Linked DNA regions of Oryzias latipes. The protein of the gene in region 3 interacts with the protein of the main gene of each other region in a pairwise test. Links are inferred from orthologs where the notes say so. Each region holds a gene or a part of one and is shown on either strand. Other genes may lie near its edges. The genes, in order: smad1, htt, pias4, satb1 and smad7.

The links.
Region 1: the proteins of pias4 (region 3) and smad1 interact in a two-hybrid assay, tested with the Homo sapiens proteins (2 studies listed by BioGRID and IntAct). The link is inferred for Oryzias latipes from reciprocal best matches to the Homo sapiens genes PIAS4 and SMAD1.
Region 2: the proteins of pias4 (region 3) and htt interact in binary tests that used the Homo sapiens proteins (3 or more experiments, as listed by UniProt). The link is inferred for Oryzias latipes from reciprocal best matches to the Homo sapiens genes PIAS4 and HTT.
Region 4: the proteins of pias4 (region 3) and satb1 interact in a two-hybrid assay, tested with the Homo sapiens proteins (2 studies listed by BioGRID and IntAct). The link is inferred for Oryzias latipes from reciprocal best matches to the Homo sapiens genes PIAS4 and SATB1.
Region 5: the proteins of pias4 (region 3) and smad7 interact in a two-hybrid assay, tested with the Homo sapiens proteins (2 studies listed by BioGRID and IntAct). The link is inferred for Oryzias latipes from reciprocal best matches to the Homo sapiens genes PIAS4 and SMAD7.

Annotation. Positions count from the first base shown.
Region 1 is NC_019859.2:18,353,915-18,358,001, forward strand, and holds the start of smad1 (mothers against decapentaplegic homolog 1), read left to right. Parts: upstream 1-1,285; 5' UTR 1,286-1,414; intron 1,415-4,087. UniProt on the Homo sapiens protein: Transcriptional modulator that plays a role in various cellular processes, including embryonic development, cell differentiation, and tissue homeostasis.
Region 2 is NC_019859.2:35,197,542-35,201,055, reverse strand, and holds part of htt (huntingtin), read left to right. Parts: intron 1-135; coding exon 136-256; intron 257-748; coding exon 749-808; intron 809-900; coding exon 901-980; intron 981-2,166; coding exon 2,167-2,305; intron 2,306-2,389; coding exon 2,390-2,531; intron 2,532-2,601; coding exon 2,602-2,780; intron 2,781-2,852; coding exon 2,853-3,057; intron 3,058-3,322; coding exon 3,323-3,370; intron 3,371-3,499; coding exon 3,500-3,514.
Region 3 is NC_019862.2:7,817,324-7,821,523, reverse strand, and holds the end of pias4 (E3 SUMO-protein ligase PIAS4), read left to right. Parts: intron 1-963; coding exon 964-1,124; intron 1,125-1,338; coding exon 1,339-1,490; intron 1,491-1,566; coding exon 1,567-1,832; 3' UTR 1,833-3,690; downstream 3,691-4,200.
Region 4 is NC_019874.2:30,130,710-30,134,223, forward strand, and holds part of satb1 (DNA-binding protein SATB1), read left to right. Parts: intron 1-551; 5' UTR 552-579; coding exon 580-790; intron 791-2,213; coding exon 2,214-2,390; intron 2,391-2,726; coding exon 2,727-2,853; intron 2,854-3,514. UniProt on the Homo sapiens protein: Crucial silencing factor contributing to the initiation of X inactivation mediated by Xist RNA that occurs during embryogenesis and in lymphoma.
Region 5 is NC_019870.2:9,759,886-9,763,880, forward strand, and holds the start of smad7 (mothers against decapentaplegic homolog 7), read right to left. Parts: upstream 2,809-3,995; 5' UTR 1,857-2,808; coding exon 1,391-1,856; intron 717-1,390; coding exon 663-716; intron 1-662. UniProt on the Homo sapiens protein: Antagonist of signaling by TGF-beta (transforming growth factor) type 1 receptor superfamily members; has been shown to inhibit TGF-beta (Transforming growth factor) and activin signaling by associating with their receptors thus preventing SMAD2 access.

The DNA.
Region 1 (4,087 bases), on a different chromosome or scaffold from region 3:
TGTAAGTCAATAAATAAAGTAGTTTTTAAGTGAGTTTTATATTACAGAAGGAAAACGTTTTGGGATGTACTTTGTCAACTAATCTGAATTTATCATGCCAATTCAGTGACTATGCTTTTAATAGCTATAGCTCTAGACACATGCTTTTTTAACTGTAGTTTTTATTTTTGGCATATAAACTTTTGTCTGTGATAATAAAGTTGTGCATCTAGGAAGGTAAAATAAGAGGATGATAGTGGATGTGTGCGCGCGCCCGAGTGTGTCTGTCTGAAGGGAATCCTTTTTGCTTCAAGTTTGAAGAGCCTTCCCCCTGCCCCCGCCATCATGATCCCTATTATAACGATCATCATCATCATCCTCATCAGCGAGCCTCCACCCCTCCACCCCGTTCCCTTCTTCCCCCCACATTTATTCACGTGCTGCTCGCGCCCGCCTCACTCAGACATTCTGTCGCCAGCGCCGTGACGTCACGTGTGCCAGAAGCTTTCTGCGTCGAGAGCGTTTGCCTCCGCCTGTCTTCAAGATAATCTAGTCCCTCTCGCGGCGGAAACGCCAAATCTTAGAAAAACTATTTTAAAAATGTGACGTTTTTTTTCTTTCGTTTGAAAAATATCACATTATTACAAAACACTTGTATGTTGTTTTTTTTATCGCAATACACAGGCAAAGTGGAGAATTTTAGCTTTACTCTGTATATACACTTCCTTTCATATATTTAATATCTATGATACACTATTAGCATTTATTCCAATTAAGATACAATATATTTATTTCATTTCACGCTTGTATTCTTTGTTTCGTGGCACGTGTGGTCATGTTTCTATGACGTCTATTTACTTTTTTCCTCTATCAGGCAATTGCTTATCATGTCACAATCACAGCTTGAGGGAAACAAAATGCCTAAATGCAGTTCAGAAGTTCAGGATCAGACAAACTGCCTGTCAGGATTGCAGAAAAAAACAGAAAAAAACCAAGCAGGCTTGCTCAATTCTCTTAGCAATTTACACTTTTTAACTCTCATTTAAAAGGTGTGTACGCCAACAAAATGCACAGTCCAAATAATATGGATTTACAGAGAAGTTATGGGAGGAGTTTTTATGCTTTGAAGTTAAAAAAAAACACAGAACTGTTATGTAGTATAGGAACAGAATGGAAACCCTTTCCTTGTAAGAAATTGTTGACAATTTGCGAGAAGCTCTAACTGTTTTACAATTACATAATCCACTTATGAAGATGTAGTAGGTCTGCTCTGTGTTGGGGTCTGTGTCCCGCGGCGTAATACTGGCGCACAGGGGGAGTGTGAGGCGGCTCGGCGACTCTGTGACGCCAGGTCGATAAGACCCAACTCAGGCAGCGAGAGCGCTCAGGAGGGGCCCGGTGATTCCCAGAAAGCGTAAACTACACACAAAAAAAGGTACGGAGATATTTTTATTCCTTTAAATTTTATAAATAAAACTAATTCTAGCATATCTTGTTTATACTGCGCACCACTTTACCGAGAGGAAGGAGAAGGTTAGCAGGTTAGCAGTAGTCTGTCAGTTGGAAGCTTCAAACTTTCCCCCCTTTAATTCAAAGTCTCTGACGGGAGACTTATGTTGTTTTTTTCTTCTGTGTGGAAATCATGAAGTGATGATGATGAGAGCTCAGCATCGTTGCTTTCTAGAAAACTCTTATGAAGTACAGATTTAGAATGTGTGTGTGTGTGGGGGGGGGGGGGAGCTGCAAATGCTGTTGTTTTCAAATCTCTTTAAATGACAGAATTTAGGCTTCATTTTGGTTCAATTTCAAAAATACTTTCTTTTCACATGAAAAAAAGCAATATTAGGTGATGTAATGCTATATAGTTGTATCCCATTTCAGCCACGTTATTTCTTTGTTTAATGTCAGAATACTGAATTATAAGGCCAAAAGTGATCATTTTGAAAAATGACTAATTACTTTGATCATGTAAACTCAGTTTATATGTGCATAAACTAAATACACTCAGCAAATAATAAACCAACAAGGCAGATCTACATCATCAACTTTTGTTGTTGTAGAAATTAAATCATCCTCATTATGAAACTCCACTTAAAGATGATCGACAAAGATACAAGCTAATCATGGAGTCTCCAACTTGAGTGTTTAATATATTTTGTAAATGAAGTATTTAATGGCTTTGAAGAAATGAAGAACATAAATATTTTAATTTTTTTTAGTTTTTTTAGGCTTTGTAGACTGAAACAAGTCATGATACTAGAATGCACACAAAAATGATTGAGGATATGTAATAGACATTGTATAAAGATCAAGTGACATTTATCTGTGCTTTCTTTTTGTCTACAAAAACACCAAAAATTGTAGAAAAGTTATTGATTTTACTTCGTTATGCAACATTCTGACATGTCTTGATGAAGTGTTATTTGATTTATTACACTGCTGTTAATGAGTAATCATAATTTAATCATGAACAATTTTCCATTCTATTTTAATGTCAAACAGTACAGCAATACTCTTAAAATGAGTACATTGCAGGAATACTACTTGCTACTGTTGTTTGATTAATGATAACTACCTTTCGCTGAATTTTAAGAAGTACTTTTCCTTGCATTTGCACAGTAGTGTACTAGAGTTTTTCTGCAGTTGTGTCCATGGAAGGTAAACAAGGGAAAACACAGAGTGAGAGTCTTGCAGCAGCTCAGCCCAGATCTCCTGACATTATTGAAGATGACATATCAGATTACTCAAAGGACGGGATTTTGCCCTTGTTCGTGCTACAGCCTATACCCTGTTGTTGTTTTGCATTCTCGGGGTATGCAATGATGAGTTATGCTTGAGAAATTGTGTGTTCTTCCCTTTTCTTTTCAGTCTTTTAGGACTGATAAGAAAAATAAATGTAATGTATTTATTTAGCTTATTGTCTGTGGGTTTTTTTGTACACATGTTCGTAAAGAAATTTAGCTTTAGCATGTAGAGTTCCCAGTGTTATTGTTGTCTGTCTTTCAGCTGTGGCATTTCTTAGGGTGACTACAATCAGAAAACTGAGCTAAACTACACTGACAGATTCATTTTGCAAATGAAATATTTCTGACTATAGTGTAATGTACTAAAGTATGAATATATAGGATTAATTTGTTACACTTTTCTTGTGTGTTTGTGTGATCTGAGCACTGTGGCCTCATAGTGATAGGGGGAAGTGTCCACCCTAACACAACACAAACCCGACTCTTGAGTGCCAAGCATGTTTGAGATGGCTGCCTACAAACCCATGCGATTGCTATTTATGTCTGCTGTCCGGTTGCGTGTTGACTGATGTATCTGGAATGTAAAAATACGGCTGTAGCTTTGTAGTCAGGACAAATGTGATTCCAGGCCGTTTGCAGAGGCTGTTCCCATTCAGAGCTTCATCTCTAACTTATCGTGCAATCCTTGCCGAATCTGAGCATTGCACAGATTCGTGTTTGTGGGGGACCGTGGCCCGGTGACTCAAAGGACACTCTGGTCAATGACTATGTCTAGTCAGAAGGCATCTTGTGTGTGTCTGTGGTTATTTTTAAGCTTTACTTATACATAGACTGCTGGGTAAAATAACTTTGGCAGAAATCTGCATTCATTGCTCACTGTGGACCCTAACAGATTTTAAATAATTGTGGATGTCATCTTTATTTTGTCCAAAATAATCTCTTTATACATAAGAATTAAAGATTTGAAAATAAACAGGATGCTTTTTTTTAACAGATCAAGCCTTTATTGTTCAAAATCTATATAAAGACCTGGTCCAATGAAAATATTTTTGGTGTTTTTAACATGTTCTTATAGTATTTTTCTCATGATGGAGGACATGTAAAAAAAAAGAAAAGTGCTCAAAATTTCTTTTTTGAGTATTTCTTCATTTAAATGGTTGTAAATCAAGAGCAGTTGGAAAAAGTCTGTAGCAGTGATGTAGGTGCTGCTGCAGCCGGCAGACCACAACCCCCCTGCTCCGCTCTATTCCCATAGATCCACTTGTAGATGCATTGATCCATGTTAGTCTTTGTTTTCCTTGTCCGAGTTGACATCTGACTCAAAACTCTCCTGTTGGATCGCTCCAATATTGCTAGGCATTTTT
Region 2 (3,514 bases), on a different chromosome or scaffold from region 3:
GTCCGCTACAAATTTGACTGACAGGCTCAGATTAGAAAAAAACGAGGACCCGGGTTTCCTAAAGTAATGGGGGGGAGGGGGGAAGTTGAATCAATGCTTTTCTTACCGTTGGCCCTATTTGAACCCTTTGAACAGAACGTCTCCAGAGTTTCAGAAGCTGCTTGGCATCGCCATGGAGATGTTTCTGCTTTGCAGCGACGACAGCGAGTCCGACGTCCGGATGGTGGCTGACGAGTGCCTGAACAAAATCATTAAAGTGAGGAACTCTCTTTACTCTGCTTTTTGGTTTGCGTTGACTGAACCAATGCTTTTGTCTTATTGGTTTTGGCATGTAGGTTGTTTTTGTGTGTGTGTTTCTTTTTTCTTTTTTTAACTCCATCAGAACTATTATTCTACATAAATATTCACGTAAAGTTATTTGCGCTGTGTGAGCTTTTGTGCATTTGTGCTTGTGTTTGGAAGTGTGTGTTGCAGTGTGTATGTAAACACAATTGTGGAATTATTTAGCTTTTGTTGAAGAGAAGAGGCGCCACAAACCCCCCTTTACATATTTATGCTTCATTTTATTCCTGTGCATCCATTTCTATTATGTAAACACTCTTTTTTCCTTATCTTTCCCATATTTGACATACACTCAGAATAAACAGTTGACATGACCAGAAGGGGTCAAACCACCTATTGTTAATATGAATTGTGTTGTTTTGTTTAACCAATCATGCTTCGTTCATCTTCTGACCTGAATCTTCAGGCGCTGATGGACTCTAATTTACCCAGACTGCAGCTGGAGTTGTACAAAGAAATTAAAAAGGTAATAAATTCCACTTGTTGTTTATTTGCATCGTTGCTTTTGCAGCTTTTCCATCAATAAAAGTGTTTTTTTTTTTGTGCCCTTCTTCGCAGAACGGTGCCTCTCGGAGTCTGAGGGCGGCTTTGTGGAGGTTTGCTGAGCTGGCCCACCTCATCAGGCCGCAGAAGTGCAGGTACCTGAGCCGCCTGGAGGATTTCCATCGCTCACTGTTGTCAGATTAATTTTGAAATCTGTTGGGGATCTTTCTTTAAGGATGTATTCACGCTGGACACTCGTGAACCAGAGTTAGTTTTCCCCGATAATCTGGAACAAATTTTCAGTCTGAATACACCCAAGTGGACCCTGGTCTGGGACCAGGAACTGGAAACTCAGCTGCGTCTTCCTGACTGCCGGAGTTCGTTTTCCAGCTTCCTCCACTTGTGAATCATGGATTCATTCTTCTTGAATTCCCTGCAGCTGCTCCAATGTTCCTCCGCGTAGCTCAGTGCTTCTCAATTATCTTTTGCAAGGACCCCCCCTAGGAAAAAGAAAATGCCCCCCCCCCAACCCCCGCACACAAACTTATTTATAAGATAAAGTGCAGCTGTTTTCCTGCGTTACCTGCTGTCTTTATGTGTGAAGACAGCTAGTGTGTGTCCTCACACACACCAACCTTTTATAAAGGTTTGAACTTTAAGAGTTTAAACAAGAGAGAAAAGTGAACCACTCTTTGGAAAGTTAAAACGTTTATCTGTTTTTTTGTCACCATTAAGGATGTCCCGATCCGATCACACATCGGGACATCACATGGTCAAAAATCTGGCCTGGTCATGTGGTTGCAGACTTGATTGAAATGGGATGTTGTACCCCGACCAAGGATCGGGCATTCAGTTAATTTGTTCTCATTATGATCAGCTCTTTACATTTCAAGCTTATTATTCCAGATCTACTAGACGTCTGCATATCTGCAACAAATCACCTTTATCTTTTTGCTGCACCACTTTGAGCAGGAGGCGCACAGAAACAGTTCAGCCAGATTAGGACTTCCAGGATCAATAACTTAAAAAATAAAAAAACTGACAGCAAGTCTCTATATTGAGTTACGATAACGGAAAGCACGACCTGCCAGTAGGGGAAAAATCATTTTAGCAATATATCGCGATAATTCATTTGGCGATACTTGTATCGATTTAAAATGCTGCCAGGACGATATTCATTCAAATATTAATGAGCGTCCTTCAGCCGCTGACTCTTGTCTTCAATACAGCATTTAATCCTGCATTTTCTTCTGGAAATGCAGCTCCTTCTACTTTAATTTAGTTTTTTTTCTAATGGGATGCTTCGGGATTTATTGTTTTGTCCTTTGGTTGCTCTGCAAGGCCGTACCTGGTGAACCTGCTGCCGTGCCTCACCCGCATCACCAAGCGGCAGGAGGAAACCGTGCAGGAGACCCTGGCTGCAGCAACGCCCAAAATCATGGCCGCGCTAGGAAACTTTGCGAATGACGGCGAGGTCAAGGTAACCTGTTTTTACTACAGGAACAATGTTTTTTTTCTCCCCTTTTGCATTCACTAAAAGCTCGAGTCCTTTTCATTTTTCCAGCTCCTGCTAAAGTCGTTTGTTGCCAACCTGAAATCCAGCTCCCCCACCATCAGACGGACGGCGGCCAGCTCCGCCGTCAGCGTATGCCAACACTCCAGACGCACCAGCTACTTCTATACCTGGCTTCTGAATGTGCTGCTAGGTACGTCACCGAACACGGCACACCCAGACTGCAAGCCCCCTGGTTCTGCACGCTCTCCTTCCATCTCCAGGTCTGCTGGTTCCAGTAGACGAGGAGCATCCCAGTCATCTGATTCTGGGGACGTTATTGACTCTACGCTACATGATGCCTCTGCTACAGCAGCAGGTCAACACTACCAGCCTCAAAGGAAGCTTTGGGGTCATGAGGAAGGAGGCAGATGTTCAGCCGACACCTGAGCAGATGCTACAGGTGTGTGTGTGTGTAAGAGAGCGCATGTGTGTTTGTGCAGCCACGCTCTGCTCACCTCCTGCGTCTCTGAAGGTGTACGAGCTGACCCTACACTACACGCAGCACTGGGATCACAACGTGGTCACGGCGGCTCTGGAGCTCCTGCAGCAGACGTTCAGGACGCCGCCGCCAGAGCTCCTCCACCTGCTCATCACAGCGGGCAGCATTCCTCACGCCACCGTGTTTCGCCAAGACAACGAGAGCCGCGCCCGTTCTGGCAGCATCCTGGAGCTCATTGGTAATGCGTTGTTTTTCTCCACAAAGGTGTTTCTGTCGCTGATTCACGCCACTAAACATTTAGCGAGTCGTCCTGTTAGCCTGCGCTGCGTTCACTTTTGCCCTGAAGGAACTCGGCTGCTCCTTTTTCTAACTCTTGGTCTGTTTGTGAGATTAACACCTCTGCTGTGTTCGAATCGTCATCTTTTTAGTGCTTTCCAAGCTTTTCCTGCTTCTCTTCCTGTCATTTCCTTTTTTTCTTCTTCCGGTTTTCCTGCCGTCTGCAGCAGGAGGTGGGTCTTCCTGCAGTCCACTCCTCCTCAGGAAACAGAGAGGTGACTCTTCTACACCTTTTCTTTGCTGACTTCCGCCCAAACGACGGGATTTACTCAAAATTCCACCTGCAGATGTTTGCACTTGTAGGAACTCGATGAGCGTTGACCACAAATCTGGAATTTTTCCAGGAAAAGTGCTCTCTG
Region 3 (4,200 bases):
TTAATGTTAAGAATATTATGAAGCGCCTGTTCGCTCATCGTTTTATTTAATCCGTGTGGTCGGTGCTTTTTTGTGGAAGAATTAAGCTGGAAGAAGGCTTAGGGCAGGCTAACACGGGCTAACATCATTAGCCTTGATGGACACAAAATCCAGGACCGTGCGAGAAACGCAGCAATCTGCATCTTCGCTGCACCTTGGCTGCACGTAAATGTGTGGGAATAACATCAGCCTTTATTTTGTCGGGACACGACTGGAAACACAAATTCATGTGATTGTTTGAACTGTTTGACTGAGCGACATTTATTTCTGCTCTGAAAAGTTCACACAGACAGACCGCCCCAAAGCCACTCTGTGAGCTTTGCCTCTAAATGCAGTTTATGTATGTGATTCTAACCAGTTTAATTATGTTTCCTGTTCAATTACAGTGTGAAAAAAGTCATAGTCCGGGCACAAAGATATAAATACATTTGGTTTAACGTTTAATATTTCTGTCTGAATACGACTTACTTTGTTTTGAATACAAGTCCCCCATTAACTTCCTGTCAAAAATATGTTTTTACAGGAAGTTAATGTGAAATTTCGGATTGAAAAAAAGACAGAAATTTTAAACGTTAAATTTATTTATTTTTGTTTTGGTTTTATGGAGTCAAACATTTTAAACTCTTCCTCGGTCCATATGTATCTGCTTGGATGCATGAGCTCAGAGGTAATTTACCTGATATGCTGCAAAATGTTGATGAATAAATCCAGTTCCTAAAAGCATGTGAATGTGAACACTCTGTTGTTTAAAGGACTCGAAACATTCAACTGTAGGACTTGGAGGTGACGTGAGACTTGTTGGTTTCGACTTGGGACTTGAGACATGGGACTTTGTCCCTCCTGTGGTTCACTGTGACGTCCTGCTGCTGATGTTCCTCAAAACGCCATGACTAACCTCCACTCTCCTCCTCCTGTCTCCTCCAGCTGGTGAAGATGCGACTCGGCGTGCCGTGCCGAGTTCTGACCTGCGCCCATCTTCAGTGTTTCGACGCCGTCTTCTTCCTGCAAATGAACGAGAAGAAGCCGACGTGGACCTGCCCCGTGTGCGACAAGCCGGCTCCCTTTGAGCTCCTCACCATTGATGGGTGAGGAAAGCTGTGTCCAACATTTACGACTGAAAACTTCATCTGCACTCTCGGGCTTTGACAAGTTTTTAAGTCAAAACCACAAAAAATCAAAGCTATGTTTGTTTTGACCTTCCCTTGTCTATACGTGAGGACAACTTGAAGTGTTTTTGTAAGTCTGGGTTCTGCAGATCTTTGGCAGACCTAAAGGTTTTTATCCACATCTGGGTTTCAGGTTGTGTTCAGAGATACTGAAGCTGACGGGTGAGGACATCGAGGAGATCGAGTATTTGACAGACGGCTCCTGGCGGCCAATCAGAGATGAAAAGGAGAAGGAACGAGAGCGGGAGCGCAGTAAAACTCCAGAGTACTCGGTTGTTGACATATGTAAGCGTCTGCGCGTTTCTTAGAGCGCCGTCTGCGCCGCGTTACAGTTCGTGACCTGCTGGGTTTGTGTCTGCAGGCAGTCCTGAAGCCAACGGCCATTCTCCGGCCCACAGCAGCACCAGCCTGACGGGCCGACCCGGAAGCAGCTCCTCAGGGATGGCTGGAGTCACGGGAGCACCGGCAGCAGGAGGTGTGGTAGTAGATCTGACTCTGGACTCCTCCTCTGAGGAGGAGGGGGGTGGGGCTGGAGGGGACAGTGAGGACACTGAGGACAGCGCCGACAGCCCCGCCCCCAAGAGGGGACGATACAACTACGACAAGGACTTGGTCACGGCGTACTGACCCTGCAGTTCTCCTGACAGACTGAGGCAGAGGAGCATGGAGGTTCAGACCTGAGGGCAGAAGGAGCCTGATGCTCACAGCGCGTCACTCCTCTTCGTGGCGTCCTGGCAAACCAACGCCGGTTTCTGGAGGAGAACGCGGTGTCTCCATGTCCCAATGGGGGCTGCTCCTCCTTTAAGCTTGCAGTAAACCCCGTTCCATCCCGTTCCTGCTGTAAAGACTGATCTCCTGACTACTGCTGCCCCGCCCCCTTAGTCTCCAGACTCCTCCCCTTCACCGTCTCTTTGTACAGACTGTCCGCCGCCGCTGCGGACCTTCAGTGTTTGCATCACATTCTTCTCACATTAGTGATGGACAGGAAGTTGTAAGCCAGCCGCCTCTGTCCTTTTTTGTTGTTGTTGAAGATGAAAACATCAGATGAGAAGACATGAAGGTCTGAGGAGCAGGTCAGGTGGAGATCTTGGTTCATAGCATCAGTCCAAACGTTAACCAGATGTTTCAGGATCATCTGGTTCATGGAGGTGCAGAGCACAACACCCCCCCGAAGCTTTCCTTCTACGCGTCCTCGGATGGAGAAACCTACCTCAACCGCAGAAGCTCGGCCCACAGATCTGAGAGCAGCTCTGGAGCAGCTGCAGACTTCCTGAGATGTTTCTACACTGGACTTTCATACGATGTGACCCTGTTCTCGGTCCAAATCCAGGTTCACAGGTGAAGCTCTTATTTTGGTTGAAGTTCAGGATGTGGTCTGCCTGGCTCCTGCAAAGACGTTTGTGGACAGGAAGTGATGGGCGGAGCTGCGCGTTTGGGTCAGTGGAGACGTCTGAAGGTCAGAGGCTGTCACTCTGCAGCTGCATCACTGCGCTCTTCGCACTGCTCTGCTTCCTGGACCTCCTGCTGTCAGGTGGAGCGGCTGTTGTCCGTCACACATCTCACAACAGTTGAACCTCCCGTTGCCCCGCCCGTCAGGCTCCTGTCTCTGCTGATGAGCTCACACCAGAGCCGGCTTTGCAGGATCCGTTTTAGTCCCAGAGTGAATCTTCAGGCCGTCGCATCTCCCGGTGGAAGAGATGTTTGCACTTTGATGGAAAACCTTCAGAGGACTCGTTTGGAAGCTCTGCATGTTTTCATTTGTTCCTGCACTTTGTGACCCGTTTCCATTCGCCGTGGGCTTTAGGTTCTGAGGGTTTCAACTAGAGGGTCGCGCTTGTCCACGACACGTTCTCATCCGCATCTCCATGTTGCATTTGGATCAGAACTTCCTTCACAGCAGAAGAAGGCGGATTCATGGTTAGAAAAAGAAGCTGGAGTCAAATGAAATCTGATCTTCCGGTTTGGAAGACACGAAGGCTTCGGGTGTTCGAGGAGTTCTGCTCCTGTGGCTCCGCTGAAGGTTCTGTCCATAGAACTCCTCGTCTGTTGGAGGGTCAGGCGGCCGGAGTGGATCTCCTCAGCGTCTCGTGACATCATGGTTGGTGGGACCGAGCCGCGTAGATGGTTTGAGCCTGTGGGGTCCCTGGTTTTTTTTTCTTTTACTTCTCTTAGTGGCTTCTCTTTGTAAATGCAGAACGTAGCATGGCCGCCCGGTGGCTCACAGTTCATTATGTACGAGTTTGGTTTTTTAAATGTTCATAAAGACAATAAAATGAAAATCTTATTTTATTACGTCTGGAATTCCCCCTGGTGATTCTTCTGGGTGACAAAACGCTGAGTTCAGCAGCAGCTCTGGACGCCGCCGCTGTGGCCAACATGTTCCACGTGTGAGTCTGTTCAGGACGATGAAACTGTAACATAAAGAAATGTATTCTAACAGCTGTTATTGACGTGTTGAATTAATAAAATCTGTTCTTAAAAAACATCTTCGCCTCTTTTCTGGAACTGTGTGACCTGAGTCTCAACTTCTGCTCTGGGAGGAGCTGCCCACCTTCAGGAGGCATTTGCTCCTACTCCAGTGGTTCCTTCTCTTTTTTTCTGTGTCTCCTCCATCCTAAAGAAGCGTCAGCTGTGGTCTATCAGGTTCAGACTGAACTGCTCTAGGTTTGCTTCACTAAACGGGTGGTTTTGGTTGCAGCGCTGACTGTTCATCCTCTAATTTATCTCGGATGAAACGCCGCCGTCTTCTGAAAACCTGCTGAGACGTTTGCATGATGGCACCAAACTTCAGCAGAGATCTGCTCTTTGGAGATGTGTGCAGCTGAGTCTCTATGAAAAACACGTTTGATGAATCTTCTGAAGTTTACGTTTGAAAAGTCAAAGTCTCCAGAACTGCAGGGTTGATGGGCTGAAGCCGAAAGGCAAACCGGTCAATTAGCTGAAATTACATTTACACAATAGATGATTTTCTGCATTAAGATGCCAGCACCCCTTT
Region 4 (3,514 bases), on a different chromosome or scaffold from region 3:
GCCCATGCAGGCACGCGCCCACATACTTTACAAAGTTGTGAACTACTTTGTCTCCTCCCCAGGCCTTCCACAGGTCAACATTTCATCCAAAACCAAATGTATTTATATATATAAATATAGATGTATAAAAAAATTTGAATTTAGAAGTTTTTAAAAGTATAGCTTAAAAAAACGACTAAATGATTGTAAATACATAAACAGGGAAACAATAAAGGGGTTTATTATAAAAGTTTTTAATAAAAATAATGATTTGGACTTAGAATTTTAAGTTGAAGATTTTTCGTCCACATTCATAATCTTAAATCCAAAATATCATTAAAAATACTTTTTCTGCTTTGGAACCATCCAAATTCTTCACTGAGAAACTGAGTTTGTGTTTTAAATTCTATTTTTAAGCGCCACGTTTGCTGGATAACTGTAATACTTTCCTCTGACTGAATGTGGAGATTCGCTCTTCTCAGGTGGAAGATGTTCTCAGAGCTCCACAGCCTCACGCCTAGCCAAAATCCCACCCATCAGGTGTTTTCTTTAATGCTTCTTTCCCTCCCCAGGTGATAGTGAGCAGAGGCGCTGAGAAGGATGGAGCATCTCAGCGAGACGTGTTTGGGCAAGGAGAACTCGGAGCTGGTCAACAGCATGGCGGAAGCCAAGGCCCCGCCGGCCAAGCTGCCCCGGCTGGAGCAGAACGGCAGCCCGCTGGGGCGGGCCCGACTGGGCAGCAACGGGGCCAAACTGGCGGGGGTCCCGTACAAGCCCAGCGGCCACCTGCTGAAGACCTTCCACAAGAGAGGTAAGACGGCGCTGCAGGAGATCGCGTCTGTTTCTCCTCGTGTGTCTTAAACGAAGAGGCGCCATAAAACCGTCACGGCGGAAAATCTGCAAATTCTCATCTTTTTACTGCTTAATTAATGACACAGGCATAATAATGAAGTTTTATTGTGCATAATTCTGCTCTTACAGAAAAAAGACATTTCTAGGAAGTTGCTTTTCTCCTCAGAAAAGTAGAATATTTTGACGTTGGTGCATTGAAACCAAAGCTAGGGGAAGGTTCTGCTATGCTGCCGTTTGTTTGCAGTGGGCAGAAGTTTCTTTTAGGAGCTTTGACAAAGTTTTATTATTAATATAAGTCATCTTCTTGAGGAAGAAGAAGGCGTCAGTCGAGTCTGTTTTTACGATTATGGTTCTGTTTTTAGTGGAAGTGAGATTCAGAAGTCAGTTCTGGAGTCGTAAAAGTTCTTGGCTGCTGGAGCTTTTTTGGTCTGTTGTTTTTTTTTTTTGGCCAATAGGGAGACAGGAGCTCCTGGAATGTGTCGCTGTGTCCTCAGATGGGTCATTTCTCCACTTTATTTTTTTCGTTTTTTTTATGCATCTGGGAGAAACGTCCGCTATTCCCCCCCCCCCATCCTTTCAGCTGTTTCTCCAGCATCCAGGCTGGCAAAGAGGGGGCGGGCTCACCTCTCAGGCTTCGCACAGGAGCCACAGTTGGTCCGAAATAATAATATCTGCCACGGCGCTCTCTGGGCTTTTGGAAACAAAGCCAGTATTGACCCCCCCCCCCCCCCCCAATGAACCAGCACAGCAGTCTTTATTGTCAGATCTGTATCTATCAGAATCAGGGGGGAGAAAAGCAGCCCTTTCAGCACATTCCTCTGCATTTGTTGGCCCGTCGATTGTTTGGTCGGAGCCCTGCGCATCTTCTGGAATGCCTAGGATCCGAAAATATTGGGATCTTTTTTTTTTGGTCAGCAGAGACGATAAACAAGTAGAAATCTGTCTGACAGCAGGACGTAAACACGGTTTCTTTATTCGGGGAGACGCTTTTCACTTTCCCTATTAAAACTTCTCTAACACAAAAGCACATTGGGTGAAATTTGCAGAGTAAACGTTCATTTTCTGGACCAGGACTCTTCATTTTTTAGTCGACCGAGCTGCTGGTGACTCCGTTTAGCAGGAGAGGCCTTTGCTTTGGGAGGAAAAGGCTTCAACGGTGATGTTTCCCCGTTTTTACCGTGTTTAACCCCAACGCGAGGTGAATTCTGCCTGACGTTGGATTCCTGGTGCTGATGGGAATGGGAGAGTCTTTGCACCGGAACTGCACTCTGAAAGATCATTTCTCCTCACCTAACTCGATCATCGGGCTAAATATGACTCCCTGTGAGCGGCTGACGGTCAGAGTCCTCACCCCCAGAACCCGGGTGTTGCCGTGTCTGCAGGCAACATGCTGCCGGTGTTCTGCGTGGTGGAGCACTACGAGAACCCCATGGACTTCGACAGCAAGGAGGAGCACGCCGAGTTCGTCCTGGTGCGCAAGGACATGCTGTTCAACCAGCTCATCGAGATGGCTCTGCTGTCGCTGGGCTACTCTCACAGCTCCGCCGCCCAGGCCAAAGGTGACTCCTCCCACCCCCTCCACCATAACTGCAACACACGCTGACAGATATCACACAGTGGCCTGCATGTGTGTATCTCCATGCACACGTGTTGTGTAGGTGGAGGCAAGACTGTAATTGCACAGGAACACATGCAGTTTGAGCTTTGCTATTTTAAGATGCATATTTGTGCGCGTAGTCCATCCCTATCGCACACACGCACACACACACACGCACGCAAACCCTGACTCACACCTCTCCCCTGCTGACATCACAGCACGCCAGTGTTGCAGTTTTAAATAAAGCGCCGATGGCGAGCTCCGCTCCGGCCCACGTTGACGCGCTTTCACCCCGCAGGTATGATTCAGGTGGGGAAGTGGAACCCCGTCCCGCTGTCGTACGTGACGGACGCGCCGGACGCCACAGTGGCCGACATGCTGCAGGACGTTTACCACGTGGTCACGCTCAAGATCCAGCTGCACAGGTGAGGAGCACGCCGTGTTTACATGCCTGAAATCAGAGGATGAAACCTGCTAAAGGCTTCTCAAAAACCTTAAAGGAAGAAAACTTCCCATAATCCAGATTAAGACGTTTGATTTTTGACATCCTGGTTCATTTGAAAATCCCCAACTTTCCTGCTGAGCAGTTCTTTGTGGTGTTGAGGACATAAAACACATAAACCTTCAGAATAAAAGTCTTAATTTCTGCAGTCGACTTGGCTTTCAGAGTAACGCGTCTTAAGATCCTTAAGCCGTTTGTTGCTTAAACTAACATTTGATAATTCTGATAATATTGCGTATCAATCATGTGCATTTTTAGCGGTTACATTAATGCCAAACAAAGAGTTTTAAATAACTGCAAACACAGAGCTAAACCTGGAGGGAAGATGTGGGCGGTTGTTTGGTCTTTGATATAAATGTCCAACATTCCTGATTCTTCCTCTGAAGTTTCAAAAATTCAGGAAAAAATCTGCAGCTGAAAAAGTTTAAATGGGAAAAACTCAAGAAGACATAAAATAAGATGTAAAAAAAACCAAGACAAGACATGGAAATTGTCAACTTTTCAGGATGGGAGGAGCTTCATGAGAATGAAAATCTCACGTGAAGCTCCTCATCACCTGATTCAAAAAGCACGGTCAGTTAATT
Region 5 (3,995 bases), on a different chromosome or scaffold from region 3:
GGCTGTTTCTGCGCCCATGGAGGCTGAGATGATCAGAAATAAGAGATAATTAAAGACGAGGGTTTGGTCTTCAAAGCGGATGTAACCCATGACGATGCTGTGGCCTGCTGCCACACGGGGGCCCGGGTCAAGTCAGAAAACAAGTGTTGGGTGGTGGTGGTGGTGGAGGGGGGGGGCAATCACTTTGAGTGGAGAAAAGACCCCCCTCCCTCCCAAACACACACCGCAAACCCCACTCTTAATCTACTGATCATTCCATCTGATAAAGGCTGACTGGCTCCAGACTCTGTTGTCTGTCTCTCTCAGCACTGTGGTTCACAATAGATAGATGGACAGACCACCCCCCCAACCCCACCCCCAACTCAGACATGCACACAAGCCCTGGTGACATGCCAGTCAGTCCATAGCTGGTATCTCAACTTCGTATTGCCTTGCCCTGGCTGCTAGCCACATTAGAATTGGCCAGCCAGCCAGGCGTGTCACTCTGCCCCCCCCCCACACACACACAACTCCCCATAAATCACAACACCATTTCCTGCAGAGGACACCAACGTGAAGTGCAGCTCATGACATCACTTCAAACATGCATATTATTGCACAAACAAACAAACAAAAAGCAATGACTTAGGAAATATCCATGTGAAATGATGCATCAAGCTCACCTGGTGGTTTCAAATAGTCCATGGGATATCGCGAATAAGGAGGAGGAGGAGACTCTGTGTGGAGGAGGAGGGGGGGAAAGAAAAAAAACTGCATGAGAAAAGAAGAGGAAGAAAAAAAACACAAAGGAGAGATCTGAACTTTCTGATAAGAGTTGTCATTCTTCAGGGGAGGGCTGATTTGTGCCTGTCAGCTCCGCCTGGAGAAGCAGGCAGTGAGGCTGGCCGGGCGGCTATTGCCTTTCATTGGCAGGCAGATAAACAGGGGGCCGCCTGGCGCCAGAAGGGCCACTATCAGCGTCTAGGACAAACTGAGATACGGGCCTCTTTTGGCCCGGGACGCCAAGCAAGCACACACACACATAAACACACACATTTCAAGACTGGAGAGTCTTTCTGTACTTTGGATGCCAATTATGAAATGTTGAAATTCTTAACAGGGGTGTTTGGAAATCTGAAACCGCGACAATGCGTATAGCTGAGGAGGATTTGAGTTTTGGAAAAAAAAAATCAAATGGAACAATTAATTAAAGTAGGTTTCTATTCAAACTCGACCACCAAACCTGCTAAAAGGATCTGGCACAGCTTCAGATCAATGGAACCTGAAGACCACTGTGCCAGAGAGGTGTTGTCATTAGAATTAGGTTAATTGGCACAGTCTTTTTCAGCCTTCTCTCCACCTAGGACCTCATTTTTTTGGAGTTTTTTTTAGTGAAAATATTGAAGCTCACCGAGTTCACAGAGCCTGCTCATGTGGTGAGGGTTGCAGCAAACGAGCTCGGGGTTGGCTTTCCCGTAAGATTCACAGCACGACAGCCTCTTCAGCTCCGAGGAATGCCTGAGGTCCGGCCACCTGAACACTTTGTAGAGCAGCATGGGGAGGGAGTAAGACTGTTGACCCACTTTGGCGTCCACTTTGCTGGGCAGGAGAAGGCAGGGGCTCCGGACGCCCCCCTTGGACTCCACCGCCTGCAAAAGCACCTCTAATTGTTTTTCTTTGATCTTTTTCAGTACCGAGTGGGTCAACGCCTTCAATTCGGCCTCCGACCCCGCGTTGGACTTGGCCACTTTTGTCGCTTTGCCCATGCAGCAGCCCCCGGAGCCATGCGTCCCTCTATCCGTCTCCCCGTCGCCCTCCACGGGCGCACGGCTCCTCCAGAGTCGCCGGACGAGCCCCGATCGTTTGGTCCTAAACATGCGGGACGAAAAGAGGGTTTCCCGGCTAAAAAACGAGCATGGTGTCCGCAAATCATGAAGATTCCGGGATCCGAGTCCAGGCAATGACAAGCAGCCTGAGAGAAAACGGTGGAAAAACTGGGAGCTGGAGAAGCAGAGGAAATCTATAGCATGCGCCAGTCTCTGAAGCTGTTTTTCCTGCAGAAAGGTCACCAGAAAGCGCTCGAGGTTGGCGGGACAGCCAACGTTTCCACGATCAGAATACAAAAAAAAAAAAAGATCACATCTATGAGCTTAGAAACACCAAACCGGAGCAGGAAACCTGCAGCAGCGGAGCTGCGTGAAGCCCGAATGCGTTACAGTTTTGTGCAATCCGGCGCTGTGAACTGACCCCTTTAAAAAAACGCCGTGACGGTTTACAGCGGGGGGAAAAACGCTGTCAGAAATGTTTATTCAAGTCACAACTAACTGGTACTTATAAGAAAAACCTAAGGCCTAATTAAGCCTCAACGCTGGCGCAATCATCCCATGAAAAAGCGAAGCTCTCCGCCGCGTCTTGAGTAGCATAATCCACAAAATCCTTCATCCGAGCGCACGAACTGGGGCTCCCCACCTTTAAATGTATATTTTAGTATGTAGTGGATGAGGTCTTCTGGTAAAATAGTGAGCCAAGGAGAAAAAAATCCAGGTCTCCCACCGGAGTTGAGTCGCGTTTGTAAAGCCACAGCAAGACCCTCCGTTTTTCTTTTTCTTTTTTGCGTCCACGCAGCGAGCCTGCTTTTAGCAATCCCTCCAGATAAAATAATCCAAAATCGTATCTCTCACGGAGTTTCCGTGGCTGAGCGTGGAGGAAAGCGAGCAGACAGCTGATCTGGTCCGGGCTAAAGGGCTCTCTGTCTGTAAATGAGGCGGATGGTTTGGGTGCCCTTGCTCCGTCTCCAGTCTCCAGTGCGCATTGACGCGCCCGGTCACGTGTGTGTCTAGACACCCTGTCGCTTAAAAGAAATGTGATTGTGTTGCGCAAACAACAGATCAAGTAGAGCCCACGGTGCACACACACACACAAGCGCGCGCGCGCACTTAGAAAACACAAATGAGAAAGTTTACGCCACAAAAGTTTAATATTTGCAGAAAAAAGAACAACATTAAAAAAATTTCTCAGTTAAATTATTTAGTAAATCTGCAGATTTTTTGGTTTGCTTTCAGTCCTAAAATAATGTTTATATATATATATATATATATATATATATATATATATATATATATATATATATATATATATATATATATATATATATATATATATATATATTCAATCATTAATTTCACGCTTGTACTGAATAAGCAGTAAATACGTGTTTCATCGTTAAAGCTATGAATCAGTTTAATATATCTTCATAGCTTTTCGCCACTGTTGCCATGGTGATCACACAGGGCAGTTTTATTGTTTTGGAGAGTTTATGGCTGGAGTTGAATTTAGGAAGTGAGCCACAGTGCTGACTCCTTCGGGGGAGCTCGTTGCTGCCCCCCATCGGACATGTTCGGTACTACACACACAAAGAGTTCCCACCCATCTTTATTTATCCAGCAGATCAATCCATCAGCTGAGGATCAAATTTGTCTTTTCTTGTCTTTTTAACATGTGCCAGCCTTCCTTCTGTGTCATTGCCCTCATGGAATCCATATTAATTATAACAGACTTATATATGTCTGGAATTTAGCTCAATGTTGGTGCCAAAAATGTACAAATACAGCTTGATGGGGAACACTCACTGTGATGTCTCACTTCAAACCCAATAAATTTAACACGTTTTAGGAGAAATTGTTCTTTTAAACAGAAATGAACCGTTTCTGGTCTGCAGACTTCCCTCGACAGACAGTAGTCCCGGGGAGGAGATGCAGTCAGCAGTATGTTAATATGACAGAGTTGCTGCAGGGCATGGGGGTGGGCGGCAGATAATGATGGTGGCAGAGATGTGTGGGGTTGAGGAGGGGTGTGTGTGCATGCGTGGAGGAGATGGAGAAAGATGGGGGAGGAGGTGGGGTGTGTGTGTGTATGTGTGTGTGTGGGGGGGGGGGGGGGTATCAGTCGTTTATCCCCCCCGTATTGTTCCCCCGGATCCCCAACTGGCGCCGAGGAGGAGCGCGCCACTGCAGCCC